3 linked regions of the Lytechinus pictus genome follow. The protein of the gene in region 2 purifies or fractionates together with the protein of the main gene of each other region. This does not show direct contact. Links are inferred from orthologs where the notes say so. Each region holds a gene or a part of one and is shown on either strand. Other genes may lie near its edges. The genes, in order: BTB/POZ domain-containing protein KCTD5-like, cullin-3-like and kelch-like protein 2.

The links.
Region 1: the proteins of cullin-3-like (region 2) and BTB/POZ domain-containing protein KCTD5-like purify together in Drosophila melanogaster (affinity purification with western blotting; 4 studies listed by BioGRID, with this or other methods). This does not show direct contact. The link is inferred for Lytechinus pictus from reciprocal best matches to the Drosophila melanogaster genes Cul3 and inc.
Region 3: the proteins of cullin-3-like (region 2) and kelch-like protein 2 purify together in Drosophila melanogaster (affinity purification with western blotting; 3 studies listed by BioGRID). This does not show direct contact. The link is inferred for Lytechinus pictus from reciprocal best matches to the Drosophila melanogaster genes Cul3 and kel.

What each region holds. Positions count from the first base shown.
Region 1 is NC_087254.1:23,710,421-23,720,495, reverse strand, and holds the start of BTB/POZ domain-containing protein KCTD5-like, read right to left. Parts: upstream 4,111-10,075; coding exon 4,090-4,110; intron 1,088-4,089; coding exon 979-1,087; intron 1-978.
Region 2 is NC_087260.1:19,591,063-19,601,717, forward strand, and holds the start of cullin-3-like, read right to left. Parts: upstream 4,249-10,655; 5' UTR 3,457-4,248; coding exon 3,391-3,456; intron 1,233-3,390; coding exon 1,035-1,232; intron 29-1,034; coding exon 1-28.
Region 3 is NC_087262.1:4,870,879-4,881,345, reverse strand, and holds the start of kelch-like protein 2, read right to left. Parts: upstream 4,884-10,467; coding exon 4,863-4,883; intron 4,508-4,862; coding exon 4,332-4,507; intron 2,109-4,331; coding exon 2,012-2,108; intron 1,207-2,011; coding exon 1,062-1,206; intron 1-1,061. UniProt on the Drosophila melanogaster protein: Component of ring canals that regulates the flow of cytoplasm between cells. May be involved in the regulation of cytoplasm flow from nurse cells to the oocyte during oogenesis. Binds actin.

The sequences.
Region 1 (10,075 bases), on a different chromosome or scaffold from region 2:
ATGAATGAAAATAAAACAAGTATCAGACCAACTGGTTCTTAGACAATATGGTCAAAAAACCAACTGGTGAATTAGACCAAGTGATGATTTGACAAAATAGTTGGTAGACGAAATGTTGGACGGAAAGGCATTAGTTTAAATGAAGGTAGACCATGGGTCAGATGCACAAAAAGTAGCAATTGCTTTTTCTAGGCTTCTGCTTGATTCCATATGCATAAAAATAAGCGAGCAAATGCTTATACTAGTATTAAAGTTCAAGCAATCGCTAACTGACTGCTAGCATTTCCTTGACAATAAAGCTACCGGGTATTGCTAAAAAGCGTAACGGTATGCAGAAAGCGAACATTTTGCTTGTGCATTTAAGCACTTGCTTGGTTTCTTCAAGCTCTGTCAGAGCAGCTGGAGCGTTTGCTTGATCAGGCGTTCACGTTTTTTAATCATGTTTATGCACCTGTGAGAGAACCCCAAGGTGTACCGTAGCCTACACGTACATTTTCTTCCTAATACATTTAAGTGCAAATAAAATGACAAATATAAATATCAAAAAGAAACAAGTTAGTTTGACACCACGTCTGAGGAAAAGATGTTATATGAAAGAAGCAGTAATTTGCACTGCCACACCTTCGCGTTGGAGTCCTGCCTTTTCTGTGAGTCGTGTTCGCCCGAGCGTGACGTCATTATTGTTCAAACCACTAGCAATTGCTTTCTGAAGGCAAGAAAAGTGTTCAAGCACTAGCAAAGGGTTATGCATATGAAATAAAGCAATTGCTGAAGCATGATCTTTTGCTTGGCTAGCTATTGCTTGTGGTTGAAGCGATTGTTTGCCAGCAATTGCTACTTTTTATGCATCTGACCCCATGTACATGTAATGAGTGGACGAGTTGGCAGTGGACGAACTGGCAATTTACCAAATGGCCAACTAGATACATGTAAATAATAATTCTGTTAAAACACACCAATACTTAAATGTTCATTTACCTTCTTCTGCTAAGTCTTTATTGATAACTAATTTTCCATGTCTAAGATAATTTAATACAGGTCCGAAGTACATGGGATCTCGGTCTATCAAATAGGCACCAGTTTCATCCTACATAAAGAGGGAAAAAAAAAGAAAAAGCAAAGTCAAATAATCTTGAATCTTGCTAACCATAGACATAGTCATTTTTTGTTGTGCATGTACATGTACACAGGCATCAAAATGAAACTTAAATGATACATGTATTTCAAAATGCATTCCCCTGTTTTACATGTACATGTACATCCCAAATTAAATCAAAATAGCAGCAATAGCATGCTTGTTTGACTTGACATTGGGTTGGGCTTGGACTTTAAAGAATATATTGAAGTCCTGCATAAACATATCCCTACATGTATACAATTCTGCAACAATAACCCAAGAAAGGAATAAGTCGTAAATTTGAATTATTTGTTATAATTTGCGAGATGGTTCTTTCAGTAGGCCCCAATAATATGCATGAAGCTATCATCTCATACTCATAGACATTGTGTACATGTATAACTTTTACAATACAGTACGAAAGGTCAAATGTAATATTTATGGGCCATCCTAAACATGCATTCATCATCAGTTGTTTCCAATTCATGGCAAAACTCTTTCAAAATGGGTGTATTCACATTATCAACTTAATTTCTAAACGAATGAAGCACACATTGCATGGAATAAGGTTTACTGCAGGATAGCATTCAAAAGATATCACATCAATGTCAAATCTCCCTCATTTCAAGACATGCCACAATTTGATCTGCGTGTCAAGGAAATATTATAGGCCTATTGTTCATACTGTAGTACTACATGTACTGTAGACTATTACCCTTTAGATCAGGGGTTCTCAATAGGTGGCGCGCGCGCCACTTGTGGCGCACCGAGCCTTGCGGAGTGGCGCTTGGGAGCCGGTATAAAAAATAAAGGAAAAATAAGGGAGAAAAAATGTATCTACCAGTAACATGGCAATAAGGTTTTGGTGATCATTTTAATACAAAGAGAAAACAAAAACTCTTTACTTGACACTTAATTGCTAATTGATTTCCTCAAATTTTGTCCAATTTAGCACTTGATAACTCCTATTATGGAGGATCGATGGTGTTCTCCTTTTTATTTATTCTACGCTGTACAAAGTTTTTGTGCCGCACAAGTGATTTGAAAACCCCGTTTGTAGGATTTCTATTTCAACGGCGAGAAATTTTGCATTTCCAGAGTATTCGTTTTGGTTAAGAGTTAAACATCAAATGATATGATATTCAAAGAACATCCTGATCATAAAAGATTATGAATTTGGGACATAACAAGCAGAAACTTTGTTTTCGAAGCCGATTAAAATCCGATGTTATAAAAGTGAAATAAATGTATGCTCAGATGCATTGTCTGCCGTGATTGCCTGCATACACTCTTGCTTAAAGGAGAATGAAACCCTTGAAACTAGCTGAATCCATATCAAAGAGAAAAATCAAAGAAACATATTGTTGAAAGTTTGAGGAAGATTGAAAGAATAATAAGAAAGTTATGAGCATTTGAATATTGAGATCACTAGTGCCATGTAGATCCTCCCATCGGCAATGCGACCAAGATCTGTGATATCACACACGTACAACTCCCTCATTACTTTAGTACTTATTTCACTTATATTCTCACTTTTATTCGAGTCTATCACAAGGTTAGGTGTTTTCTTTATGAGATGACAAGTACAGAGGTTTCACAACATTATATCATTGATGAATCGTTTGTCATATGATTAGAATGAGCAAAAAGAGATGTTTTGGGGTATATTTTCAGTGTCCGAATGGGAGAGTTGTACGTGTGTGACATCACAGATCTTGGTCGCATTGCCAATGGGAGGATCTCCATAGCATTAGTGATCTCGACATTCAAATGCTCATAACTCTTTTATTGCTAGTCCTATTTTACTCAAAGTTTTGTTGATCTTATTCTTTGATTTTTCTGCTTTCACAAAAGCTAACTTGCTCCAAGAGTTTCATTCTCCTTTAACATGAACTGAATGAATGATACTGCACGTGAGTTATAGAGAGAGAGGGGCAGTTGGGGCGTTAGTGCAGTGCAACGCCTAATTTTCAGCCCTTGCAAAATCGGGGAACGTAGCTTCAACCACTGGCGTACAGATGGGGGTGTGGCGATTGGGGGCCCCCAAGTGTTTCATAGCCAAGAAAAAAAAGGAGAAAGGGAAAGAAAAGGAAAGGGAAAGAGTGGAATATTGTATTATTTTCTTAATATTATGTCAAAATATAGATATTTGTATTGCAAAGTTCAATATTTTTGCTTCAGCTGCAATATCTAGCCCCCTCATTTTTTTTTTACTCATTACGCCACTTGCTTCAGCCAATATATCTGGGGCAGAACAGTCTGAACTAGTGGTATCATTGGTATGTTGGGAAAAAGTCACTGGTCTTTTTTTATATTTTTTATTGATATTGTGTAGTTTGTTGGCATTTGTATTTCTTCTGTTGATATTAATTAGAGCCCCTCTGGGCAATTTAAAAGGCCTCATATTCCAAAACGTCTGGGGGCTCTGCCCCCTCGACCCCCACCAGGGGCCTCTGAACATCCTCCGCTGATACATTGCTGGTTTGCGCAATGGACAGTGGAGCATTACAGATTCTCAACATGAAATGTGGCGCTTCAAAAAAAGTAATTGAGAATGGCTGCTTTAGATAGTATCTTACTGCAATATTATGGAATATTACTGATGAACATTGGTAACCATTTTACCAATGTAATTGCCGTTTATATGCATGTACACTTTAGAATACGTCAATAACTGAGGCATATTCATGCACAGTGTAGGAACAGGTCTTAGTCAGCCCTGGGTCAAACTGGTCAGGGCAGATAATGACAAATTTGCAATTACAGTTAAAAGCTTCTGAAATCCTCCAATCTGATTGGGTGATATACATGTATTACATTTGTAATAGAAATTGTGCGTTTCTTACATGTATTATAACAAGTCTCTATGAAACTAGACCCAGATGAAAAAATAAAAAATTTAAGGCATCAACAATTGCATTTGAAGCAGACAGGAACCAATAGCACCATCTGGAGTCCTCAACTATTCATACCTGGCCAGTTTCCTGACCCATAATGTAGTCTTGTAATATAGACCCATTTGAATGATAACCTGCTCATTAACTACTCAATACATTTATACCGTAATATTTATGTTACCAAGTAGCAAAACAATTACTTTTCCTTTCAAAACATTTTAGTTTCTCTATTAAAATACAATCATAGGTCAATTTATTCTCTATAGTGTTTATACATGTACAGTAGTAGATATCTGAAAATGTATAAGACTATGCATTAATAACACATAGTCAATGAGAGGCCACACACAGTTCACTCCCCCTTTAAAATATTCAAACATGTTGAATGTGGCCGCATGTCATAAGGTGGTCCAATTTAGCAAACAGGGTAAAAATTGCCCCAAAAAATATTTTTTGATATATCATTCTGTAAATAATGAAAAAGTTTTAAGTCTCAAATACCTTTTTTCCCCCTTAAAATGACTAATTAACAGCTAATTATTACATCATAGATGTCAATGTAAATTTGAATTTTGAAATGCGATTTCTCAAATTGGACCTGCTGCACATAAAATGGTGTCAAAAGTTAATGCCACATTGGATCACCCTAGTAGTTTTGCAGTTTAATCTTTTAACATCGATAAATAAATCTGTAACAAAAATCAAATAATCATCTGTCATTGTATGCATATTAATTACAATAATTAATTAACAATATCTAATTTCACATTTTTGCCCCAAAAATGCCTGTCACTGTTTTATGCTTGGCAAAATGACTACATCATGGGTAGAAATGTTTGTTGAAATGATACACAACTTTTGTGCTAAAAATCAAGTTTAAAAATTAGATAATTAACCAAATTTCTTAATTGATTAGGTTGCAGATCAGAGCTGACACACACATGTATTTCATTCCTGCATATTTTAAAAATGTCAAATTTGATAACATTTAGTTGTTCCCTGCTTTTAAACTGCCAAGAAATGAGGCTGATGTCATATTACATATTATATTAAGTTGTTAATTAAGTTTGATTAACATTCTATCATTCACCGCATCCACCGGTCCTGCCAACCATTACTTCAAAATCAATGTGCTATAGTTTTTATTCCTGATATTGTATTGATCTAATTTATAGTAATATATTTAGCCTAAAGTTCTAGCTTCAAAATGAGATCTTACTCAATATATTTGGTCAAGATGATGTGATGTACAACAATTTATCCATGGCACCGTGTGGAAAATTGTTCATCCGCCACCCTCTTTGCATACCCAACTTATGAAATGTGACCGTATATGCTTTCTGATTATTAGCAAAAATATGAATACACATATTATGGAAAAAAAGCATGAGAACACAACTCTATTAAAGTGATGAACAATATTTGCAGCTTTGATTCCCCCCTTCTGCAAGTTCCTCTTCAATCAAAACCATAGACTGTACAGAAACCACAGAGATAGTCTTCCACTAGTGTGAAAATGCAATAAAAGACAAAAATAACTAAAGATCAATAATAAAAAGCCCTAACAAGCACCACTGATTACATAACATCAGTAACTTATTGATTTTCAGCAGCCGAGTGTGACCACATACCCTTCCACCAGATAAAGTACACCATTAGGCAGAGCAATATCCATTCTTGTGTAGTTCAGTGGTATATTGTCAATGATTGTTGGGAAATGAAGATGTATGCCACTATGCCTGCATGTATGAATCAAATCATATTATTTAAGTTGGTTTGAAGAATGAATTATGAAATATATATTTCCTCTTCCAGCAGGTGGAAATAATGTAATGTTCTGTTCCACAGCCCTAGTAGGCTAGCATACCCCCATTACACCAATGCTAGAACTCCATGCAGTTCTTGCTGCATCAAAGAAAAATAGCCATGGTGCATTAGGACTGCTATGTACAGCGTACTGAGAACGTAGCGAAAACGGCAATTGACATGGCATAGTCTTCATGATCTCCTGAGACCCATTTTCCGCTTTGGAATTGGTCACGGATAAATTAATTAGGGAAGGATTTTCGTTGTGCATGTATTTCTTTCCGAGTTCAGAAATGTGTCTCATTTTACATGTACCTCTAAAGTCACCCAAACGCAAGGCGATGTTGGACAAGTTGCTCAAAAAAATCACAAAATTTCTTAACCTGGAAATGATCCCTGAATAGATCAATTGAATACAATGATATTGATTCCCCATCATACTTTGAACTGACGGCTTCTCTCAATTCAAACGATTCATGTTTGAATCCTATTTTTTATTTTGTTTTGTCTCGCTCAGTTTTACTGAAATGAAATTGTGAACGAATTTAGCACCAAAAATTGCCTTTTTGATTATTATTTATTTATAGCATTACTGTCCTTCCTACTATTCCTTTATTCTAGTCTATAATCTCTCTCAAGTCAGACTTTCCCGTTTTGTTGCATCTGTCTATGGTTAGCAAGCTCTTCAAGATTATTTGCAGCCTGAATTACCATTAAATTCTAATTTGCACATGAGTGATGATAACAATTTCAATTGCAATACCTATATCAATTCACAATCAACTTTACAACAAATTCAATTCACAAACTAGTAACATCAATAACAATAATAATTACAATTCAATAACAAGTGGAATGCCTCTGGCCGTCTCACCTGCATCACGCGATTCAATATAGCAGCAGTGCTGATTTTTAAAACTACTATAACTCGCACAAGATGTTCAGTGATACTTGGTTACTCTTATTTCCACGTTTTATGAACTAGACCAATACACTTATAGAGATATGATGGCAATTCAACAAATACCCCCAACGTGGCCAAAGTTCTTTGACCTTACATGACCTTTGACCTTGATCATGTGACCTGAAACTCGCACAGGATGTTCAGTGATACTTGATTACTATTATGTCCAAGTTTTATGAACTAGACCAACACACTTTCAAATTTATGGCTGTAATTCAACAAATACCCCAATTTGGCCAAAGTTCATTGACCCTAAATGACCTTTGACCTTGATCATGTGACCTGAAACTTGCACAGGATGTTCAGTAATACTTGATTACTATTATGTCCAAGTTTCATGAATCAGATCCATAAACTTTTAAAGTTATGATGGTAATTCAACAGATACCCCCAATTCGGCCAAAGTTCATTGACCCTAAATGACCTTTGACCTTGGTCATGTGACGTGAAACTCATGCAGGATGTTCAGTGATACTTGATTAACCTTATGTATAAGTTTCATGAACTAGGTCCATATATTTTCTAAGTTATGATGACATTTCAAAAACTTAACCTTAGGTTAAGATTTTGATGTTGATTCCCCCAACATGGTCTAAGTTCATTGACCCTAAATGACCTTTGACCTTGGTCATGTGACATGAAACTCAGGCAGGATGTTTAGTAATACTTGATTAACCTTATGGCCAAGTTTCATGAACTAGGTCCATATACTTTCTAAGTTATGCTGTCATTTCAAAAACTTAACCTCAGGTTAAGATTTGGTGTTGACGCCGCCGCCGCCGTCGCCGTCGCCGCCGCCGTCGCCGTCGGAAAAGCGGCGCCTATAGTCTCACTCTGCTATGCAGGTGAGACAAAAATTATAATACCCCAACCCCCCCCCCCCCCTCAAAAATCACTGCAGGCCAATACTACAATTAATTGATCTGTCTATATGTAACAGTACCTTAATATTAAAAGGACAAGTCCACCCTAACAAAAAGTCGATTTGAACAAAAAGAGAAAAATCCAATGAGCATAGCACTGAAAATTTCATCAAAATCGGATGTAAAATAAGAAAGTTATGATATTTTAAAGTTTCGCTTAATTTCACAAAACAGTTATATACACATCCTTGTCGATATGCAAATGAAGAGACTGATGACATCATCCACTCAGTATTTCTTTTGTATTTTATTACATGAAATACTGAATATTCTTATTTTCACCTCATTGTCAAGTGAAACAGAGATTAATTCCTCCCTAAACATGTGGAATTAACATTATTTTAATACTACATGGGTCAATCAAGTTGGCCCTTGTAAAATCTGTAAAAAATGAAAAATGGTATAATTCAGACAATAAAAACAAAAGAAATAGTGAGTGAGTGACATCATCGACTCTCTCATTTTCATGTCACTACGTTGTGCATATAACTGTTTTATGAAAAATAAGCGAAACTTTAAAATGCCATAACTTTCTTATTTTACATCCGATTATGATCAAATTTTCAGCATTATGCTAGTTTGATTTTTCTCTATTTATTCAAATGAACATTCTCCTGGGATGGACTTGACAATGCAATACAATGCAATGCAGGACTTTGCTCAGTGCAACCACATTGCCTGTGGAGAATCTACGGATCTACATGTATGCAACATACAATACATATTTAAAAAAAATCAAAAAATCTTTGAAATATCACTTTTGTAACTAACTCCCCCCCAAAAAAAAAAAAATCAAAAAGTTTTATACAGTTTCATACAGTTAAGATTTTTCTTATTTTTAATGCTATAATTAACTTTGGTATCAATTTTTCTTATTCACCAGAGCACTATAAATGTTTTATTTTGAGCACATTTTTGTGTGGGCCCTCTACTGATGGGAAGTGAAGTTGGTCTGAATTGTCCCCAACAATATCTCTTTTTTACTGAGAAAAAAAAATATCAAAAGAATTCAATTTACTTTAGAGCCACGTTACATGTATTGTATATGGAGAAAAGCTTTAAATGGAAACTGACAGTGTAAAAAGAAATCAAGCATTTATCCCCATGAACAAGTAAAAATACATATATACTATAAAGCCAAACATTGCCAATTTCACCACATAGGGAGTCCTAAGTACTACGTAACAGAGAACAATATCATAACCTTGTATATTGGATGAGTGCTTCATTCATGACACATACTGTACAGCTGCATACACAAATTAAGCATACATCAACCATCAATCTAAAACAAATTTTAAAGAAGGTTACAAAGATAATACTACATGTACCTGTAGAAATAGAATACCGATAAGAAAAGAAGATAATGTAATAATGTACAAAGAAACTATTAAGAAACAACAATGAAGAGAACAAGGGCTTCTTCTTGTAAGAATAGTAATGTAAAAGACATACTGCTGCCTGCTGAAAAGAACAGTGACTTTATTCATTTGTAGTTTTATTTATACAGGGTGGCATTGTCAGTTTCAAAACTGCTTTCCACAACGGCCCTGTCATAAAATACAATTTATTATAATTAATATAATTGAATCAGTAATATTTACATAATCAATAGCACACATTAAATATTCACTTATATACATATCTACATGTATATACATGTATGGTACCATACCCAAAAGAATTGAAAAAGACTAACAAAACAATATATACATTGAAAATCTAAGCAAGAATCAATTAGTTTCAAAATAAACGAAATCCTCAAAAACAAACCCAATAAACAATATTGAAAAAAAGTAAGCAAATCATATGAAGTTTGTCTTAATCCAATAATTAAAATGAAATGAATATCATACTATCACACATTTTTGTTAAACTAGGCTTTAAAATGACTACCTTCATATATTTTTATTGTTTTATCTGATATACGGAAAATCATTTTCCGTGTCATACAGTAGATGATTCATATTGATAAATTCAAAATGCTAAAATTTAACAGTGTTTGTTTTTACTTTTCTTCATAATGTCAAATAAATCATTCTTATGTTGTTTGTAATTGTAAGCATCACTGACATTTTTCCTCAAAGAAAAGAAAAATGAAATATAAATCTGTGAATTTGAAAAATATATAGATTTGGGCAAACTAATAAAAACAAGTGGAGCACCTCTGGCAATCTCACCTGCATTACATGATTAAATATAGCAGCAGTGATGACTGAAAACTACTATAAAATAATTATTCACAAAAAATACCATTCATATATAATGATAAAATACTACATTCATTGACCCTAAAATAAATTTGACCTTGATCATGTGACCTTACACTTGTCAGTGATACTTGATTACCCTTATGTCCACAATTCAT
Region 2 (10,655 bases):
TGAGTGCTTTTAAAACTTCCACACGGACCTAAAATAAGAAAAAAAATTAAATGTAGAGGTGTTTACAAGGCTATACTTCAGAATTGACAGGAGTACGATGATGGCTTTTCATGAAAATTGTCAGCAGAAACTACATTGTCAGGTCTGGCAATTTCAGCGAAAAACTTATGTTTTGATTGGCGGAGAAGCACTCGTCTCTGGCAGTTACTTATAAACTGTAAGAGAATGATAATTTGTCAGTCCTGACGAGCTTTGTGAAATGGTAGGCCTTCCCGGTATACCAGGGGTGACTTGAAAAGAGTTGAAGATTTGAAACCAACGCAAGTCATATCCAAGACATATTGCTTTTCAACCTAATTGGAAGTGAGCATTTGAGAGATTTTGATTTCTGGAAAGGGCCCCAGATGACAAGGAGTTCACACAACCTTTTTTTCCATCCAAATTTCATCACTTCCTCTGCTTAGGCAAGTAGAAAATACTAAAACGATATTAGATTTTGAATTAAGATTACGAATTTAAAAAAGAAAATATTGACAAAAAATAACTAACTACATGTATAATCCAAACTTCAATATGATGGCAGGGCTCCCTTGTAAAGCAGGCCTCTGGCTTGAATGGGAATATCATGCTTTTTATAAAGAAAATATGAATGAATGAATAAATAAATAAATAAATAAAACAACTATTAAAAATATATTTCGATTTAAGGAAATGTAAAGTACATATTGGAAAGCTTTTCACCTAATGTGCATTTAATGACTCATATTAGTGTGTGTCACTGTGTGATACTGTTTCATGTTGTAACTGCTGAACATGTAAGCTTCTAAAAGAATTTGCCCTTCCAGAGGCCCACATGATTGACAGCAGCCACATAGGCCTTCAATAAAGTTATCAAAACAAAGAGGGTTCTACAAGGCCAATAGCACATGAGCCTGTAATAAGTGACATGTCAGTCTTTTGAACAGACGTCATCTGGAGTTAGTGATACTGCCTTGTCCGTCCCACACCTGTCCCTTCTCGAGGTACATACTCACCTTTTCTACCAAATGTTCTGTGACGACGTCCCTCAGTCCCGTGTATAACCTTTCGCCGTGCTTATGGAGCACCATTGTGTACGCATTTCGGTAGAGCTCCTCAAAGCTCAGGCCACTGTTGTTTTTTCTCTGTATTTCCTGGATGGCATTCTTGAGCAGGTTCCAGATGCTGGACACATACTTTTCATCCATGTTTGTCTGAAAACAAAGGGAAGAAGTAAATGCATTATTCATTTGTACTTTACACTACGTCTACTATACACCCATTTAACGTATCCGTATCAGCCAACAGGGTACTTGTACATGTACTGTATGTACTGTATGTAGGCTCACATGCAATGACATCAACATTCCATTTCAATTACCCAAATCCAACATGTACATGTAGGCCTACATGTACAATTTATACATGTACCAAGGATATTTTCCAAATATGTAAACCTTAGTTGGTCAACATAAATATTTAAAAAAATTAGTTCAAACTAAAGATGTGCATGTAACACACAAGTAAAACTACGGTAGAAAACACTACAAAGTGCATTACATGTAGTGAAGTTAGTGGAAATTATTAGTATTCTTAATTTTACCCGTACTACATTTGGAAGTAAAATAAAGGGGGGGGGGTTGGGCTAGAACAACTCAATATCCATAACCTGGATCCTGTTTTTAACTACATGTATGTACATGTCTATGTATGTGTGTGTACTTGTAATCACCAAGAAAATGTAATTCGTTGAAAACTGTAGTTCTCATTAGATGAAAACAGAACTCTCTAAAGCTTTGTTGTACTTAGCTTTGCCATCCTAGGAGTAAATCATGAAGCATCATCGCATTACTCATTTCAGGCATGATATTTCCCTTGAAAAAGAATCTGAAAAATAGCCAAGGGTGGCTAAGTCCCCGCCGGAGTCCGAGAAGCCCCTGTCGGGGTTACAAGCTCTTGCATAGTGAAATTGATAGTGATTTTTCAAGGTAAGTCTGCATGATAGCTTTATCATTTAACTTGAAAAAGCAGTAAAAAACTGCATGAGAATGTTCTTGGGCAAAGGATTTCACGTAAAAAAACTAAAAATCAAAAATTAGAAAATCTGAAAAAATATCATGCCTGTCTTTTTAATGACAAATTTGCTCTGAACCAATGAAATGCAAAGATTTCATTGAATGGCAACAATGTCATACAAACTGTTATGCAATACTGTAGGTCCTGGGACAGGTTGGGGTGTTAACTTGGTAAAAACACATATTTCTTTTTTTTTTTTTTGAACATTTGGTGAAACTGTACTTACATGTACATATACATGTATTATCTACATGTATCAAATAACATGAACACATGTACATGTAGGAGAAGTGAGGGGGGGGGGAACGATGTCCAAACACCAGTTAAATCTATCAAAAAAACTGTCTATTTTTTCATATCTGGGTTTCCTTTAAAAAAAAAAGGAGTAGCAGAAATGACTGAAAGTTTATGCATCAATTGTCTCATATTACTTTCAAACAATTTAATGTCCAAACGCAAGTTAAATCTTCACGTCTCGCAAAAACTATTATCTTTTCTTTTTTTTATATCTAGGTTTTCTAGCAAAAAAAAAAGAGTAGCAGAAATAATTGTTTCGTCTAATATTACTCCTGTCTTGATATTGCCGACTTGTCCAGATAAACGACCCGCCCGGGCCATATCGTAACCTTGTTCATAGAATGAGTGCGCCCGGGCACACAACTGGGTACATGTACCTGACGAGGTATATACCCAGTTGTTGTGTGTCCGGACAGGTTGTGTGTCCGGACGATCAATTTTAGAAAGTCATTTGGAAAAAATTACAAGCGAAGTGTCATCAATTTTTAGTACAAAATGTGAGGAAATATTATAGAGAACAAAATATAAGATGATTACAACTATTGAATTCATATTTTTAGTGTAATCTTAAGACAAAAAAGAAGGCTTCAAAAATATAAAGTATCCGGAACAGGCGCTCTAACCGACTGAGCTACACTGCCTCCACTAAGTAAGACTCTAAGACTCTAGAAAATGGACAAACAATAATATAGAAATTGACGCAAAATATCAGCTGGGCATGAACGCTTTGTCTGTTTAGCCTTTGTCTAGTTGGTCAATTGTTGTCTAGACTGACTCGAGAGATCCTAGGCCATTTTTTTTCCATAAAAATTCCATGTTAAGTCCTAAAAGGCTAAAGTAATTGTTGTCTGTTGTTGAGTCCCGGCCCCCCCCCCCCCCTCAAACACAAATTATGTTTTTGCAATCCCAATAACACCTTAGTTCTTGACTTAATAAAAATAATAAACATTCTACGATAAACAATCTGTGTAACTTAGATATCTGAATTGCAGAACATACTGGAAAGGCACGAATCCTCATTCGAGAGTCTTTCTTCGGCGGTGGTGCTTTCATCGAGTTACTCATGTTGGCGACGTTGTTCTGGATAATTCAAAAATGACAGGAAAAAAAACACAAGACAAGTCAAGTGTCAAGTCAGTCTACTTGCAACAGTTTGAGGGCTCTTTTCTGTAGAATTTCCAGAGCCTATGAAAAATTATTCAGTGGAGTCATATTGGATCATGCCACTTCAATTGAGGCATCCGAGTATATGAAATAATTGTTATATTTTGAGAGTTTGTCGAATCTGGTGCAACCATAACACGGGTGATTCACTGCATTGCGTTCACTGTGTTTACGGATGTAGGCGAGCTCGAAGACTTGTTCTTCATGGACTCCGCTATTGCTGCACCTTCGTTTTATGTGGATTCGCGAATTCTATTTTGGAACAGTGACTCAGCTGGGTAGTTTATTCTGAACTAGTTTCATCGAATCTCCGGACATCTATTTGAAATTTCATGATGGGTCACTGATAAAGTGTAGTCGAAGGCTCAGGATATCCTCCAAAAAGGTACTCACAGTACGCCAAAAGTGCAAAAATACGCACTTTTCTGACAATATTTATAGCATTCAACACATGAACGAAGCCTCAACACTTGACCCGATTTGTACACAGTTGGAGAACTACTTTCTTCCACCAAAATTCTTTGCCCCACATTTCTTTTCGAAAGATAATAGCAAGTAACTTTTCATATTTTCAACCAACTGTGATTGCTTTCTTTTGATTGTGTTATATTCTATCTCCAGATTCAGATTTGATTCAGAGAACTAACGATAAGCGAATGGATATTATTTTACAGTGAAGTGCAATTCGCCTCTAGTATTCCACGGTTGTGACGTCATAGGTCATGACCATCCATTGGGCCTACTCTGCAAAATATGTTTTGCTGAATTATGACAAAACAAAAGAAAGAAGAAATGGAAAGGGGGGAAAAACAGAGATAAATTATTCAGGCAAATGGCAGTTCCAATGAATACCAACAAATAATCTGAAATATATATATATATCAGTTAACGATATGACGACAAAAATTCAAAGGCGAATTCATCTTAAACGTATTTAGGTGAAATATAATACTTCAAATGGTAGGTAATTCTCTGTAGCCTACCTTCAATATATGTCATTGTTATAATTAAAAAGCACTGAAAACTGTAAATTGTTATGCTTATAGATATTTATAACTCTATAGAGAACTCTAAGATTCAGCTGTGCCTTACATTCTAATAATGATACAAAAATAGTGATTGGTTGTATTTTTTGTTGATTATTTAGATTTTTGTGCTTTATATATATGATAAACCGTGAATGTGATTATATATATAATTTTTTTACGTAAATCGTGGATTATGAGTAAAAACATTTTTAAAGTGATAATCCTTTCAAACACTCAAAGACGAAACTGAGTTATATTCAGATTTGAAAAAAAAATATTGAATAAAAAATGGCTAACACAAATTATGTGTCTACATAGTCACGCCAAGAAACTTTTTTTTTCCAAGCAATCATGTTAAACTCTGCATGGATATTGATTTTCAATAAATCTAATTTGCAAGTGTCACTCTGATGCAGCGGCTATTCACTTTTTCCATATACAAATATAATATTAAATTTGCACACCAACATTCTCTAACAATAATTAAGGAAAAGAAAGAATTAGGAAAACAAACTCTACACATTTTAGCTGACAAGCAGGGGCGGCTATCCGGGGGGGGGCACAGTGCCCCCACACGTACTTTTTGAAGCCCTGAAAAAGTGCCCTTTTTTACGCAAGAAGAATGCCCCCTCACGAACGTTTGCATGTTCCCCTTTCACCTGAGGAGGACCCGTTTTAGGTGTTTGCCCTTTCTCGTATAAGTGCCAATTTTATTTCGCAAAATGCCCCCTCTCAAACGATTTATGTGCCCCTTTTACCTGAGAAGGACCCGATTTGTGATTGTGTCAGAAATTTGCAATTTCTCGAATCTTTGCCAATTTTTACCAAAATGCACCCACACGAACGTATTCTGTGCCCTTTTTACCTGAGAAGGACCCGTTTTAACGGTGTGAGCAAGTGCTCCCTGATATTGTTGGCTAGCAGCCCCCCCCCCATTTTACCCAAGAAAGGTGCCCCTCACGAATGTGTTGTGTGCCCCTTGAAGGACCCGTTTTATGTGTGAACAAGTGCCCCTTCCTTCTTCTTTGTGTCCTATTTCGTATTAGTCCCCCTTTTTACCCAAGCAAGAAAGTGCCCCACACGAACGTGTTCTGTGCCCCTTTCACCTGCATGAGAAGGACCCATTATAACGGGCTCGGTGTAAAAATGACACTGAGGTAAAAATGGCAGAGGTAAAAATGGCAGAGGTGGTGGCAGAGATAAAAATGGCAGAGGTAATAATGGCAGAGGTAAAATGGCAGAGGTAAAAATGGCAGAGGTCATATTGGAATAGGCCTAGGTAAAATCGTCTTAAACCCCCATGCAAAAAATGAATAAATAATGAAAAATAATAGAAAGGGTCACATCTTTAAAATCATCTAGATAGATCGTCTGCACCAAATTGATAATCTTTTGGTTGGAATATCTTATTTTTTCTGGACTCTCATGGACGGCCTTCTCATGTCAAATCGCTGTACTAATATTCAAATTTGAGGCACACTCTAGATCGCAATTGTATTTAATTCATTAAAGGGGAAGTCCAACCTCACATAAAATTCATTGTAGAATAGCAGAAAATAGTAAAATGATATTGGTGAGGGTTTTAGGAAATCCATCAAAGATTAAAAAGCTATACTTTTATACTTTTATGATAACGTCATTTGCGAGCAGTTTTCCCATATTTGGTGTATAAAAAAATCAATGAAATGTAATTTTCTAGAAAAAAAATCAAAATGGTTTTTATTGTTTCTTCAGTAGGCCTATATATCAAGAGACAAATCATTTCACTTACGCTCCTGAAATATTTTTTAAAAACAATTACGAACCATTTTGTAGTGCGTAAAATGTCATGGGACAGTTTCCCATATATGACGTCACAGACTAAAACTTAAACTTCTAATAACTTTCTTGATCTTTGATGGATTTTTCCTCAAGCCTTCACCAATTTTCTGCTATTTTTATTGTTCATTAGGGCAAACTACCTCTTCAAACAGCCCCCAGAGAATGGTACCTATATATAAGAAACACCCATAAATTTAAATCCCTAATTGGCTACACATTTCAAAATTCATGAGGTAACAGTGACCATAATACACTAGTTTGGGAACCTGACATCCACTTGGACTATAGCTGCAATGAGGTATTGCTCTAAAGACTGAACAATAATTGTAACATTTACATTTAATTATACGTATCACATTAATCAGGGGCAGATCCAGGATTTTCCAAGGGGGGCACATTATTTTTCCTGAAAAATGACACGCAAAAACAGTTTTCCACCTACAACTTAAGGTAATTCGTCCACAAAAATAATAAGCAAGCAAAAAAAGTCCTCGCTTTAAAAGGGGGACACATTTGAGTTAGAACCGCACATTTGCTAAGATTTTAATTGTACCTCTCAAGGGGGGCACGGGCCGGCTGTGCCCCCTGGATTTATTTATTCATTTTATTTATTGATATATTCATATTCCACAAGTCATCAAAGTATCTTTCGTAATAAATCATTTTTACAATGAAAAGATGCATCAACTGCATAACACATACAGGATTGAAACGTATACCAATGAAATGAAAAAAAGTGGAGGGGCATACTAAAAAAGCAAAGCTTGTAAAATGTAGACCCCCTATCAAAATTGTATACAAGGGTAATATGATATAAGTATATAGTAAAAATAATCAGCAAAATTCTATAAATTTACATAGATAGAAACACTGTAACACAAATGTTTATACACTATATACAAAATTAAATATTGACTTTAAAATAATCAACACTACCGTGCATGGATAAGCATGAAGTTCACAAAATATTTGATTAAATCAATAAGAATTCAGAAGAAATTTTTTTATGAGTAATTTAAATCGGTTCAGATTAGCTGCCTCTTTTATTACTCTGTCCAGAGAATTCCAGAGTTTTGGTCCTGTGAAAAATAGTTTTGCTAGAAAATACTGTTCTACTTTTAGGTATAAGTGATAGTCATTTGACTGTCTCGTATTATGAATGCAAAGTATTGTTTCTCATAAATTTCTTTTGTAGGCCATTAGGTACACTATTTCTATTTAGCTGATACATGAATTGGAATAGTTGTAAGCGGTACAGGTCACTGACTGTAAGGATACGTTTCTGACGAAACAATTCATCCGTATGAGCTCTAAAGGACATATTGCATATTATTCTCAGTACTTTTTCTGAAGTAGCAAGACTTTATTGAGTCTCGTTTGAGAGGCATTACCCCATGCCAGAATCCCATAATTAAGATATGGTAAAAATTATTGCACAATATAACATGAATAGCGCCTGTGCTGGAAGAACGTTTTTAAGCTTATTGATGACTCCAATATTTCTTGCCACAGTTTTGCAAATATTGTTGATATGAGCATTCAACGTAAGCTTGTTATCAATAGTAAGACCTAAAAATTTTGTTGTTTGGATCCGCCAGTGACATCAATATCTATTCATCATGATCCATCATGATGTGGAAATAAAGAAAATTACTTTTATTACAGAATGTTCAATTATTTTTTGTTATCCAGCTTAAATTATGAAAGTAGTTTGAAGTAGACCCGAACTTGTTTGTTTCAGAGGGTTAATGGCTGCACACATTGATGTTTACATTAAAAAAAAATCGTTGGGTTTGCATGTGAAGCGATGTTCTGCTTATAACTTAAGATCCTTTCATCAGTCACTAATTGAAATCATTTTGGCAAGAAAATGCTTGAGTTTAGTCATATAAATGACAAAGTATAGACTTAAAATGACGAAAAACAACATAATATTTAATCAGTTCTTATAGCCCATTTCGTCGACAAGAGTCCGGTCAAGGATGATAATTATTATGACGTAGCCTATCTTTATCATCTTTACCTCCGCCATTTTTACCTCTGCCATTATTACCTCTGCCATTTTTACCTCTGCCATTTTTACCTCTGCCGTTAATCTACCAATAATCCTTGCTTCATGAGTCATGTGAGTGGGGTAGATAAGCGAACATATGGGGGGGGGGGATCTTGCCACCTCAACAAATTTCTCACGACGAAAAAAAAAGAGAAAAGGAAAGAGAGACGGGTGAAATATGATATTATTTTCTGAATTTTAATTGTCAAAATCTATCATAAAATTTGATTTTCGTTATAAAAATGTCAAAAAGAAGAAGAAGAAGAAGAAGAAGAAGAAGAAGGAGAAGGAGGAGGAGGAAAAGAAGAAGAAGAAGAAGGAGGAGGAGGAGGAGAAGAAGAAGAAAATTATGAAATTATTGCTCAGTCATCTATTCTCCTTTTTTTTTACTTCCTTATATAACAATTATTTAATTGCTATTTTTATCTCCTAAATAAATATATATTAATCTTGAAATTAATTTTCTGTAATCCTCTTTTATTTTCCTAGATTATTATATTGCATGATATTATGTCTATATTCAATGTAGCCTATAGTTAATTTGACATACTTTACTTTAAATAATGATATGCATTTCAAATAACTTATTTTTCATAATGACAGACATGACCGAAGCTACACTACAAAGTAATTTTTGTTGTAGTTTCTTGTTTTATGGTTTTTTTTTCTACTACGTAGTAATTTTGAAACTTAATCGAAAGTTATAATTCTTTGTCTTGAATTTACATGTGCTCAAATTTATTGTATTCTAATTTGTTGTTCATTGTGTTGTCGGTCACTCTGTTTTATTAATCTTTGAATCATGTATGTTTTTATTGTCAAAATGTAAGATTTATGTTTTTGTTCGTTTGTACTGCCCCTTTGTAAAACAGGCTAGCAGGTGAATAGGGCTTTTACCGTGAATAAATAAATGAATCAAATCAAAGCAATATCTTGCTAAATAAATGATGCGAGCGCGAAGCGCCAGCTGGAAACGTTTGCTATCCAATATGAAAACGGGACATGTATTCACGTTTTCAACGTTTTTAATAAAGAACGAATTGTCTATTACAGAGATCAAATTAATACGAGCGCGAAGCACGAAACTGAAATTTTTGATCCACACGGAATCGTCGCCATTATAAGAAGTACTTGTTATGCACACATCAGATGCGTGTTCTTCGCTAATGGGGCAAATTCTTACTCTTTTTGAAGTCCAAGTTAAAGAAATCAACTCTTAAAACCTAAAATCTGGACCAGCGCCACCTCTTGTTTAGTAAAATGGAAAAAAAGGTGGCGCATACTTTTCTCGCAGGAAATTTTGAAGTGCCCTGACAAGAATGACGAGATGTTTTTTTTCCTCATTTGTCTGCCGTTTTGTTTTTAATATATTTTCAATTACACATGTTTGTTTTTATTGTAGGCCTGCATGTTTGTTGTTTTTTTGTGGGGGAAGAGGGGGGGGGGTCGAAATCCATAAAAATAACAGGTTGTCTCGACGTAGATAGACTATTCATGAAAATAATGAAAAACAAACCAGGAAATGGCCAAGTTGTCTTTTAAAACATTTTAAAGTGTCGGAAATGTAATCAAATTAATCTTCCTTTAGTGGTTAAATATCAGAAATCCCATGGCAACAAATTCGGGCTGTATCGAATTTCAATTTCAGTGTTGAAAATCATTAGAACATGTAAAATTTCAATCGGTAAATCCCATGTAGGGCCTACAATTATGAGAACAATATAGATCATTCTTTAAACCCTTTATCTCTCTTATTATTATGCTTTGCGTAATCTTTCATTTTCTTTTTGTGTATTTGGAATTATATTGAATGATCCCTGGGCCCTCTTTTTACAGGGGGTGCTGATGTGAATTTGAACAGCAAAAAAAAAGGGGGTTTCAACGCAAATTCAAGGTAATTTTGGTCCCGAGGAATTGGACAAGCAAAAAAAAGGGGGAGGGGGGTTCACAACAAAATGTAGGTAATTTCCGGTACATTTTTCAATTTCGCCACATCTACCAGAATTCCAGGGGGTGCTGCCTATAGAAAATAACACCAAACCCGCTTCCCCGTAGGGCCATGAATGATCAGTGAGTATTCAGCGATCATTAACCTCTCTCGTTTTCTCCCCTTTCTACACTGTTAAAAACAAACCTGATTTTACAGAAAAAAGAAGATTTTGCAGAAAGCAATAACAGAATCATTCTGTAAATTCAGA
Region 3 (10,467 bases), on a different chromosome or scaffold from region 2:
TAATACTTTCATATTTATATGAATCATAAACATTTATTTCTTGGAACATTCATAAACAAACTTTACTTTACTTGGGTTTTCTTATCATTTCCTTCCGTTGTACTTTGTTTCACTTTGGAATTCAATTATCAGTGAATGAAATTTTACATGAATTCAATTAGAGCAATATTATCTATATATAAATAGTCTGCTCATGAATAAGAACTCGATAATCTACCAAAGTGCTTCAGATGAATGTTTCTCTGGCCATCAGATTCAATTAGGCTTGCCTGCCTAGAATGTCCACACATTCAACACTTCCTGTGGAATATTACAATCAGACGTAGCTATAAAGAGCTTCATATGAATATTGATACTCAGGTCATCAGATTAGACTAGCCCACCTGTCTTGCATGCACATTCTCCACTCCCTGTGGAGTATGGTAGTGGATCGTATTACCGAACCCTTTTCATGAATTCAATTATATCAAACACATTATTCTCGTAAAATTCACCAAACTTTCACCATAAATACACAAATACCTACATGTACAAAATATAAATATGTGAACATTTTGCCGAAATCAATTTTCTTTTTTACGATATCAGCTTCCAATCAGACCCCTCGTCGCATGTGAAATATTTTGGTCACTTGAAAAAGGTATCGTGTAATGGAATGTGTGTTTTCTATGGGAAAAGTTGAGAAAATAACAAAATCACTGATGAGCTATTTTGACCATATTTTTTTCATTTTGAGAATATAAAGACTTTGAAAATGTGTTTTAGACCATTTTTCATCATCTTTCTATTCAAGTTCCCTTTGGAAGGATGTTGCAAAGTTTTGAGCGCATGAAATAATTTTCTGACACATATGATGCGCACATTCAGTAATACAAGGCCGGTCGGTAATACAATCACTCACTATACTAGCCGCAGTTTATCTATCTAAAAGCTTTGTAGGAATATTGTCAATACTTCATATGAATATTGTTACTCTGGTCATCAGACTCGGTGAGGCTTGCCCGCCTGCAATGTACGCACATTCAACACTCCCTGTGGAAAATTAGAATCAGACGAGATACCTTTTATGAGCTGTTCCTCCTCGACCCGTTGGATGAGGTAGTCCCTTGAGAGGAGGGGTAATCTGACATGTTCAACCAGCTGAGGCATGTAGTCGCTACGGTTACTAGGATCCTGCTTTACCCACGATACCACGGCTTCAAATACCTAACAACAAAAGAAAATGCAATAAATCTTCAATGTGAAATGGTTGAACAGACAGAAAAGGATATAACATACAAGGAGGAGTGTATTACGCACATTATCAATAAAATAGACAATACATATCAGGAAAAGACCTAGGAATGGTCCAAACATACCTGTATAAGAGTGTTTTTGATAGACATTGACTTATTGTTCAGACATGTATTACATGTAAATACTTTTTGTTGTTCTGCTCTGAAGCGCCTTGAGCATCTAATCAAGATGGAAAGTGCGCTATACAAATCTCATGTATTATTATCATTTTTTATTAAATTTAGATTCTTTAATCAATTCAGAATGGTTGCAGATTTGGGACCCATAATACGAATCTTAGCATTTGATCATAAGGCTGATTTTAATAGCACTTGATAGCAAAGTTCATTATATTGAATTAAGCATACAAATCAACTCTATGGTATAATCAGTCATAATGTTTTGTCACGTGTACCAGGCCTGGGTCTAAAATCATGTGACCTCTTACCTCTTCTTCTGAATAAACTGTCAGGTGATCACACGATATTCAACCAATCAGAAGCAGGCATTTGTGACTTTTAAAAGTTTGATTATTTTTCTTCAATTGAGTTTAAACTGAACTCTTTCTGCAACAGGTTTGGTCTGATATCATGTGACCTCTTGCTTCTCCTTCTGAATGATTTGTCAGGTGACCACTTTCAACCAATGAGGAATGGACAGTTGGAATGTATGTTTGATTTAAAAAAAAAAAACTCTTTCTGCAACAGGTTTGATCTGATATCACGTGATATCTTACCTCTTCTTCGGAATGAACTGTCAGGTGATCGCTGCTTATCAATTCACAGACTTGAGCAGCAGGGAGTGCAAAGAACTCATCGCTATGGACAACCGCACTGTACATCAAAACAGAAATATAACAATATCTTCAACAGACATGAAATGTCAAGGAAATTCCATTTTATACCCCTTTCATATTGCACTTTTCACCGGCAAAGTTTGCCAGCAAAGGGGAAAGTGTCCAGTATGAAAGGTACACAGGAGAACTTCCCCGGTGAAGTTCGCCGGCGAACTTCTCCACCTCTAGAGGTGGAGAACTTCGCTGGCGAAACTGTTTCACCGGCGAAGTTCGCCGGTGAAAAGGCCAGTATGAAAGCAAACCGGAGAACTTCTCCTCTTTAATGACGTCAGAGGTCAATTTTTTTTCTCTCCCGAAGTCCCCTGTACCAAGATTCCACGCGCGATAGTTGCAAGCTCAGCTGAATGCTATGGCCAAGTAGATACCCTCGAACATAATTTTTTTTTACTAACAATATTTATCAAAAAGCACTTTTTACATGTATAAAATGCGCTAAAATATAAAAACATAGTGATATTGTTTGTTTTTCTCGTAATACTTCCAAAATATGTTGTAATTAATTTTTTTTTAATACCTTTTTGTAATAGGTAATAAGAAATGTTTACAATTTTCTTTCGTTTGTTCTGCACGTGCCGAGCACTGACTAAATCAAGGGAATACTGACACTGTTTACTAGATCTAGCCATCATCTTGACAACTTTACTAACAAGTAAGATCTCCACAATTAAAGGAAATAAATAATCGTGGTGCCGCAGAAATGCCGAATGAGGCCAATCGCCCGTTGACTTTCGCCAGAGAAGAAATGTCAGTGCGAAAGGGTAAATTTTTTTCTTTGCCGGGGAAGTGAGGAATGCAAGGCAGAGAAGTCCGCCGGTTAAAAATGAAGAGGGCAGTATGAAAGGGGTATTAAACTTCATGGTTCAAACATATGTAGCATGGTATGCTTTATATCAAACAGAGCTGCATCTAATAATACTAATAGGGCAATTCCAAGAAGTACAGTATGTCTAGGGACAGTGATTTTCCGTTTCAAAAAATTGCCTTTTCCGTTTCAGAAAATCTTAAATTCCGTTTCAGCATGTCAGAAAACGGAAATTCCGTTTCCCCATAGACTTTGTACACACGGAAAAGTGACAATTCCGTTTACACATTGAATAGCAAAATCACAACATGTACACTCGCACTGGTCAAAATTTGTATCTGCTACTGTATACCAACAACACAATAGAATCCGTTCTAATCGGATCTATGCGGGTGCATAAAATATTTTTACAAACCCATTTAGCATGCATATATCCTCACCTTTCACTTTATTAGCATTATTTCACGGTGAAATGACATTTCATCGATAATTTTTGGGTTTTTTGGACATCGTTATCATCAGTCAACGGCTTTTGCCAATCCGCCATCTTGGATTTTAAGACCATGATATCGTGCTGTTACATCTTCAAACGTAGAGGGCAGCAACACACGACCGTGTAGTTGAACGATATGTGTGCATGTGAAGCCCAACCCGGCCGGCCAGCCGGGTACGGGGTACAATCGAGTGTGCTGATGTCGAGTGCAGTCACGATGTGTGAATTGTCATGATAGTAGCCAAGTGAGATCGTGTTTTCTGGGGTTTTGTGGCCATTTAATATTCTCATTTTGTTGTGATTTTGGAGTAACTTCTGTTGCTATTCTGTTTATTTTGAGGGAAAATACGTTTTCCGTGATTTTCCGTAATGCTCCCAAATTGTCATGGTTTGGGCAGTTCAGGAAGTGAAATGAGAATGGACAAAAATGGAAGTCAGACATACAAAAAGGATAATTTAATGGAATAATAATAATCTGACATTTGTATAGTTCAAACACATTTAAAAGTGCTCTATGTACTTGAAATACAGCTATCCAAGTTACAACGATCACACACAAAATATGCAGGATGATACAGAAATATAAACTGAAGCAAAACCTCTTTAGATCTTGTTTAATGGCATGGCATGAAATCCATATAGTATACATGTAGTTTTCAATTGTGGCATACTATTAACTGTTGTGATTGATTAAAGTCACCAGTTTTCTGTTTTCTAAAATCCAAAATATGTTTTCTTCAGAGTCCAAAACACAATATTCTTCAAACGAGTCAAATTTGGATTTGTGTGCTCAAACATCAGATAGGAATATATCTATTCCATTATAATTATAGGAATATATCTATTCTATTATGATTAATGTCAAAACAGCGGTTTTTCTTGCATGGATAAGAACAGGAGCATACCTGAAATGCTGCATGGTATAATTCTGGGCATAGTGATAAAGTTCGCTACACGAGTGCACGTCGGCAAACGCTCTGATACCAAGACAGTTCGTAGGATGGAGTTGCTTCTGTAGGAAGTCACAGCATGCGTCTCGTACGTCATTCAGCTGCAGTAAACTGGCAGCAGGCAGCAATGTCTGCAGTGTGAAAAACGTAAGGATGTTTGTTAATATTTCTGGGGGGTGTTTCACAAAGATTATGAATCGCACTTAATAAATGCCCAGTTGCGTGCATTAAAAAGGCAGTACCGGTACCGCATTGGTCAGATCTTGCCAAGAGGACGCACACTACTGCGTACTAATCAATAAGATTGCGCGTTATATAACATATATGCATCAGTGAGTGTTTAAGTGCGATTGTAAGTCATACTTAAATCTTTGTGAACCCCCCCCCCCCCATCATGAGATTGAAACTACATCAAAGAAATTGTCTCAAAGTGATATGAAAAAATATAAGTTTTGTCACTGGTAAAAGAAAAAATCTAGAACGTACATGTAGTGCTTGCCCTGCCATTATCCAATATCAGACTGGTGTGTTATATTAACATTAGTACAAGGCAAGGTTTTTCCTACAATGTAGATACAACATTGAAACCACAGGTACATGTAGTTCATATTTCTGCACCAGAAAATGAAGTGGTCAACTCAAAAGTTGTTAATGGAGTGTTGCAAGAAACTTGCGATCGATTGCAAGTCAATTAATTTTCAGGCCCCAAAATCAATCAGAAGTTTTGCAATTAATTTTTTTGCAAAATTGCAATTGACCGCTGATCTGATCCTGTACCAACAACTATGATTTTATTTGCCAAAGTTAAAAATGATCCACCACTTGTAAATTTGCAACTGAAATTTGCAATTGATTGCATATATTTTCTTTCAACACTCCTTATGACCACTAGTCTGCAGGCACAGACCGTTGGTTTTCGCAATTTGCATAATGCAGAGTCTGCAATAGTAAGACTACATGTGTATATTCACTATAATAATAATAATAGTACAGTTCTTAAATACACATAACACCTACAGGTCTCTATGCGCGAGGAAAGCAAGAAATGAGGTTAGAATTGTAAATTTAAAATTTAGACATCAAATACTTATACATAACATCAAAGAATATTAAACATGGATTGGACCTACATGTGACTCAGTTAAACATTCTGAAAGAGGTGGGTTTTTAATTGTACTTTGAATTTCTCAAGCTGGGTAATATTTCGTAATGTCGGTGGTAGAGAATTCCATTGTGCTGGTGCAGCTTTTAGGAAAGCCCGATCCCCATATGATTTGGTCTTGACAGTAATTTCGGAGAGAAGATTTTGAGAGCCAGAACGGAGATTATGCTTGGGTTATGAATTTGGACAAGTTCTTGAAGATAAGCAGGGGCAATATACCATGAATCCATTTGAATGTTAATATGAGAAGTTTATATTTGATCCTATGTACTGTCCCAGCAAACAAAGAACGTTTTCAGAACGTTTTGAAAACGTTTTTTTTATGTCCTGTACGTCTTTGTCCTAAATGAACGTTTTGAAAACGTTTTTAAAACGTTTTAAGGTTGGACTTCATATTACGTCAAAGTTGAGTTTTTTTAGGACGTTTTAAAAACGTTCTGTGGACGTTACAAAATTGAACGTTTTGTATAGAACGTTTACAGAACGTTTAGTGTAGGCCTTTTGCAGAACGTTCGATATTGGACGTTTACAAAACGTTTTTAGACGTTACAAAAATAAACTTTTTGTATATACGTTTACCAAACGTTTTTACACGTCCAGTTCAATAAATCAAATAGCTATATTTTAAAACATGCCAATAATTATACACGATGAAATAAACCTAAAAATAACATGTTTTTTTATTAATTTTCCTTGCTTAATTTCATTTTTTGGTAATTTTAAATTCTTTTATTTTTACTTGTTTGTACCATGAATTCTAATTTACACATTATCGAACGAGGCCGCAAGCCTTGTACTGATCGATGACGTCATCTCATCCCATGCGGTATATACTTTCGAATTTCCCGTTGAATGCCGTGTGTCAACCATTGTGTGCCTTTCACAATCTTTCAAGAAATCCTGAACTTTCAACCAAATCTGTGAGACTTCAAGGTAATTATTTACAATTTTGATATGTGTTAGGTGTTTAAATGTTTTTGAGTGAATTTGAGACGTACAAAATGTGGGAAGACATGATTGAAATCAGAGTGTAGGATTGTGCATTGTGTTGTGGTCATGAATGTCTGCATGTATGCTAACCCGGCCCAGGGAGCTCCCGCCCGCGCAGCGGGCGGGAGCTCCCTGGGTTACATGCAATGATGCATGCATGCTGCGCAGGAATCGCTGCATGCAATACTCATAGCGATTAACGTGCATGTCAAACAAAAACGAGAGAAAAAAATTAAGGCGGAACGTTAGAACTAATAAGTCTAACGTCTATCACTTGTAAAGACATTTCATTTAGCAAGAAACAAGTCCTATAATTCAGCATTATGGTCACTACTAGTTCACCTCTCCACTCCTTCTAGTTCTACCGTCAGCGCTGCACTTAACTTTAAAGGTAAATGCTAGTTTTGGTAACGATATCAAAATGAGTTCGTACAGAATCCAATGAAATGACCACCAAAGTGTCTGTTTGTATAAATAAAACGCATGTGCCAAAGGATTCTGGAACTGGAAGAAATTGTCTAATTACTGAGAAATCAGCAAATAAGCACAGGATTCGGGTAGAGCGTCGGGCCCGACGCTCAAAGCAATAATTATACACTGTCCCACGTGCGCTTATCAGTGTTGGGGAAGTTCAGTCTGAACATTTTCAGCGTAGATTTCAAGATTTCACAAAGTTCAGTTTATACTGTACCAGATCTAGATCCTCGATGATATACTGACAATTAAGCCTGGTTTTACAGACTTTCTCATGAAATCAGTGTTTACTGCAACTACTGGAATTTTCTCTTTAAGTTAAGTTATGACTTTCCATTTGACTTAGCCTGGAGGCTTCTACTCTAACGTTAGTTCTATACCCAGTTGTTGTGTGTCCGGACAGGTTGTGTGTCCGGACGATCAATTATAGAAAGTCATTTGGAAAAATTTACAAGCAAAGTTTCATCAATGTTTAGTACAAAATGTTAGGAATTATTAAATAGAACAAAATAAAAGATGATTACAACTATTGAATTCATATTTTTAGTGTAATCCAAAGACAAAAAAGAAGGCTTCAAAAATATAAAGTGTCCGGACACCCGACCCCCATCCTACATGTACTTCTAAGTTAGAGAGTAAAAATTATTTACTGACGTATGCTTACTCTCATTGAAGCCAGGTATTCCTTCCCATTTATCTGCGTCTACCGCCAAAAAACCTGAAAATTTCGCCCCCGAGATTTCTACTTAAAAAGATCTAGCCCTAAATCATGTTCATGGGATACAACTTCATTTCCGACATTTCTACGCCATAGATTTTATCTTTAAACAAGAATTCATTAAAAAAATGAGAAAAATATTATGCAAAGATGGAAGAAACTTGCCCGATGTTTACGCTGCCGTCTTGTTTACTATTGTTCTTCGCCAACGTTACGTGACGCACACGTCTGTAACTTTACAATGGTGCCTCTAAAAAGGCAAAGGAAAAATTGTGAGATTCACAACAAAACAAACATTGTGTACGATAATATTTTAAAGTCTTTATAAAGAACAATGTAAATGAATGTTTAGGGAAAATTGTTCGAACCGGTTGGACCTGCCGTAATGAAAGAAACTACATGTATATTTCTGGAATTACTGATTTAAAGCCTTTAAAGGCAATGGTGGAATAGAGGAAATGCTTTATTTGCCTCATTGCTTAGTTCATGTTCCTTTGTTATATTCATTTTTAGATCGATCGCAAAAATGTGTGCATCATGGTCAGGAAAAAATGAATACAACAGAAGATGGATGAGGGCTCATCGTGCATCGAGAAAAAATAGACGCAATGTTGTAGCGAGCAGCAGTGAGAGTGATGTAGAAGCTCTCGCAGTGGAAGATGGAACAGAAGGACTTCTCTTTGAGCCAGAAAGGGAAATTGAACTTGACAATGCCATTCTTGCTGGTGATGATTCGAGTGATAGTTTGGCAGATGGTAGTGCTGATACCCCATTGTCTTCTGGCTCTTATAGTGATGATCCGCCTTTATCTTTTGATTCAGAGTCAGAGAACGAACATTCAGATCACTCGGGTGAGGAGCCGCACATCGGTGTACAAAATGAGTTGGCTAAATGGGCAAATGACTACCAAGTTAAACATAATGCAGTTGATGGTCTTCTAAAAATCTTAAAGAGGCATGGACACCCAGATTTACCAGCTACAGCTCGTACATTGCTCCAAACTCCTAAGACTGTTGAGACTGACATTGCATCTGGAATGGAATATGTATACCTGGGAGTTCATGAACAATTGTCCAAAGCATACAAGACCTGCAACACAAACATCGACGATGCTGACTCTATACATCTTGCTCTGAATATTGACGGAATTCCACTTCACAAGGACACATCAAAGAGTTTATGGCCGATATTGTGTTCGATTACAAATGCTTCACCTGTGCACGTCTTTCCAGTGGCATTAACGTATGGCCTTTCGAAACCTTCAAACCTTGATTTTCTTCAGGACACAATTAGAGACTTGGGCAATGTTATGGCAGACGGTCTCCTTGTGGATGGGAAAGCAATCCAAGTTCACCTGAAATGCATTGTCTGTGATGCTCCTGCTAGAGCCATGGTGAAGGGTACTAAGTTGTTTGCAGGATACCACGGATGTGATAAGTGTGAACAGAGAGGAGAATGGAAGGGCAGAATGACATACCCTGAGACAAGTAATTTGGAGAAAAGAACAGATGCTTCATTTCGGGCCAAGCAATCTCCAGAACACCATAATGGTGATACACCTTTCTGCCAGTTGCCAATTGATATGATTCAGTGTTTCCCAGTAGACTTCATGCACCAATCGTGCCTGGGTGTTATGAGGAAGTTGATCCTTATTTGGATGCGCGGGAAGGGAAGATTGCTCAATTATAAATTGGGCGCTGTTCATGTGGAAATTGTTAGTGAGAAACTTCTGGGGCTAAGGGGCTCCATAACCAATGACTTTCAAAGAAAGCCTCGTCATCTCTCCGAGATAGATCGATGGAAGGCAACAGAGCTACGACAGTTTCTCCTGTACACTGGGAAAGTTTGCCTTAAAGGAGTATTGTCATCTGTCCAATACAACCTTTTCATGGCGCTGAGTGTGGCTACATGCATTCTTGTGAACAGTAGGCTTACTGCAGAATATCATGCATTTGCGGAAGAACTTTTGGTGTACTTTAATGACCAGGGATGTGCATTGTATGGTCAGGAGTTCCTTGTATATAATGTCCACAGTATGGTCCACTTGGCAGATGAAGCGCGTCTATTTGGAAACTTGAACTTGTGCGCTGCATTCCCTTTCGAGAATTACCTTCAGTACATGAAAAAACTAGTGAGATCTGGCAAGCGACCTGTTGTACAAATAATCAAGCGATTGTGTGAGGGCGAACAATTTCAAAGTGTTTCAACATCTAAGGCTTCTGTTGTATCTACAAAGAAACCTGATAATTGCTATATTCTTAGTGAATCTTCGTGTTGTGAGGTAGAAGAGGAAACCAATGAGACCAGCGAAAATGATGACAAACTTCTCCTGTGTAGAGTCTACACAAAGAGTGAAAATGCCTTCACTTTACCATGTGACTCCAAAATAATTGGTGTCCACAAAGTAAGCAAACGCAATACCAGTATGCGGATGGTTCCACACCAATCTCTGAAGAAGAAAGCACTGAAGTTTGATGTTGACAGAAATACATTCATCTTCATGGCATTGTTGCATTGCTGAATGGTAAATAAAAACATGAGAAATTATACAGTCAACTTCACGAAGTTGAAATTTGGGGAAAAGAAAATGTGTTTGACTTTATTATAGGTTCAGTTTTATACCAAAACTGTGTTGTGCAGTTTTTTTATTGATAAGAGTTCAACTAATGTGGAGATGTGTACCTTGCATGTACATGGGTGTAGGTTGGTTTTTTTAGCCATCATGTTCCTCCATATTCAGCCATGTA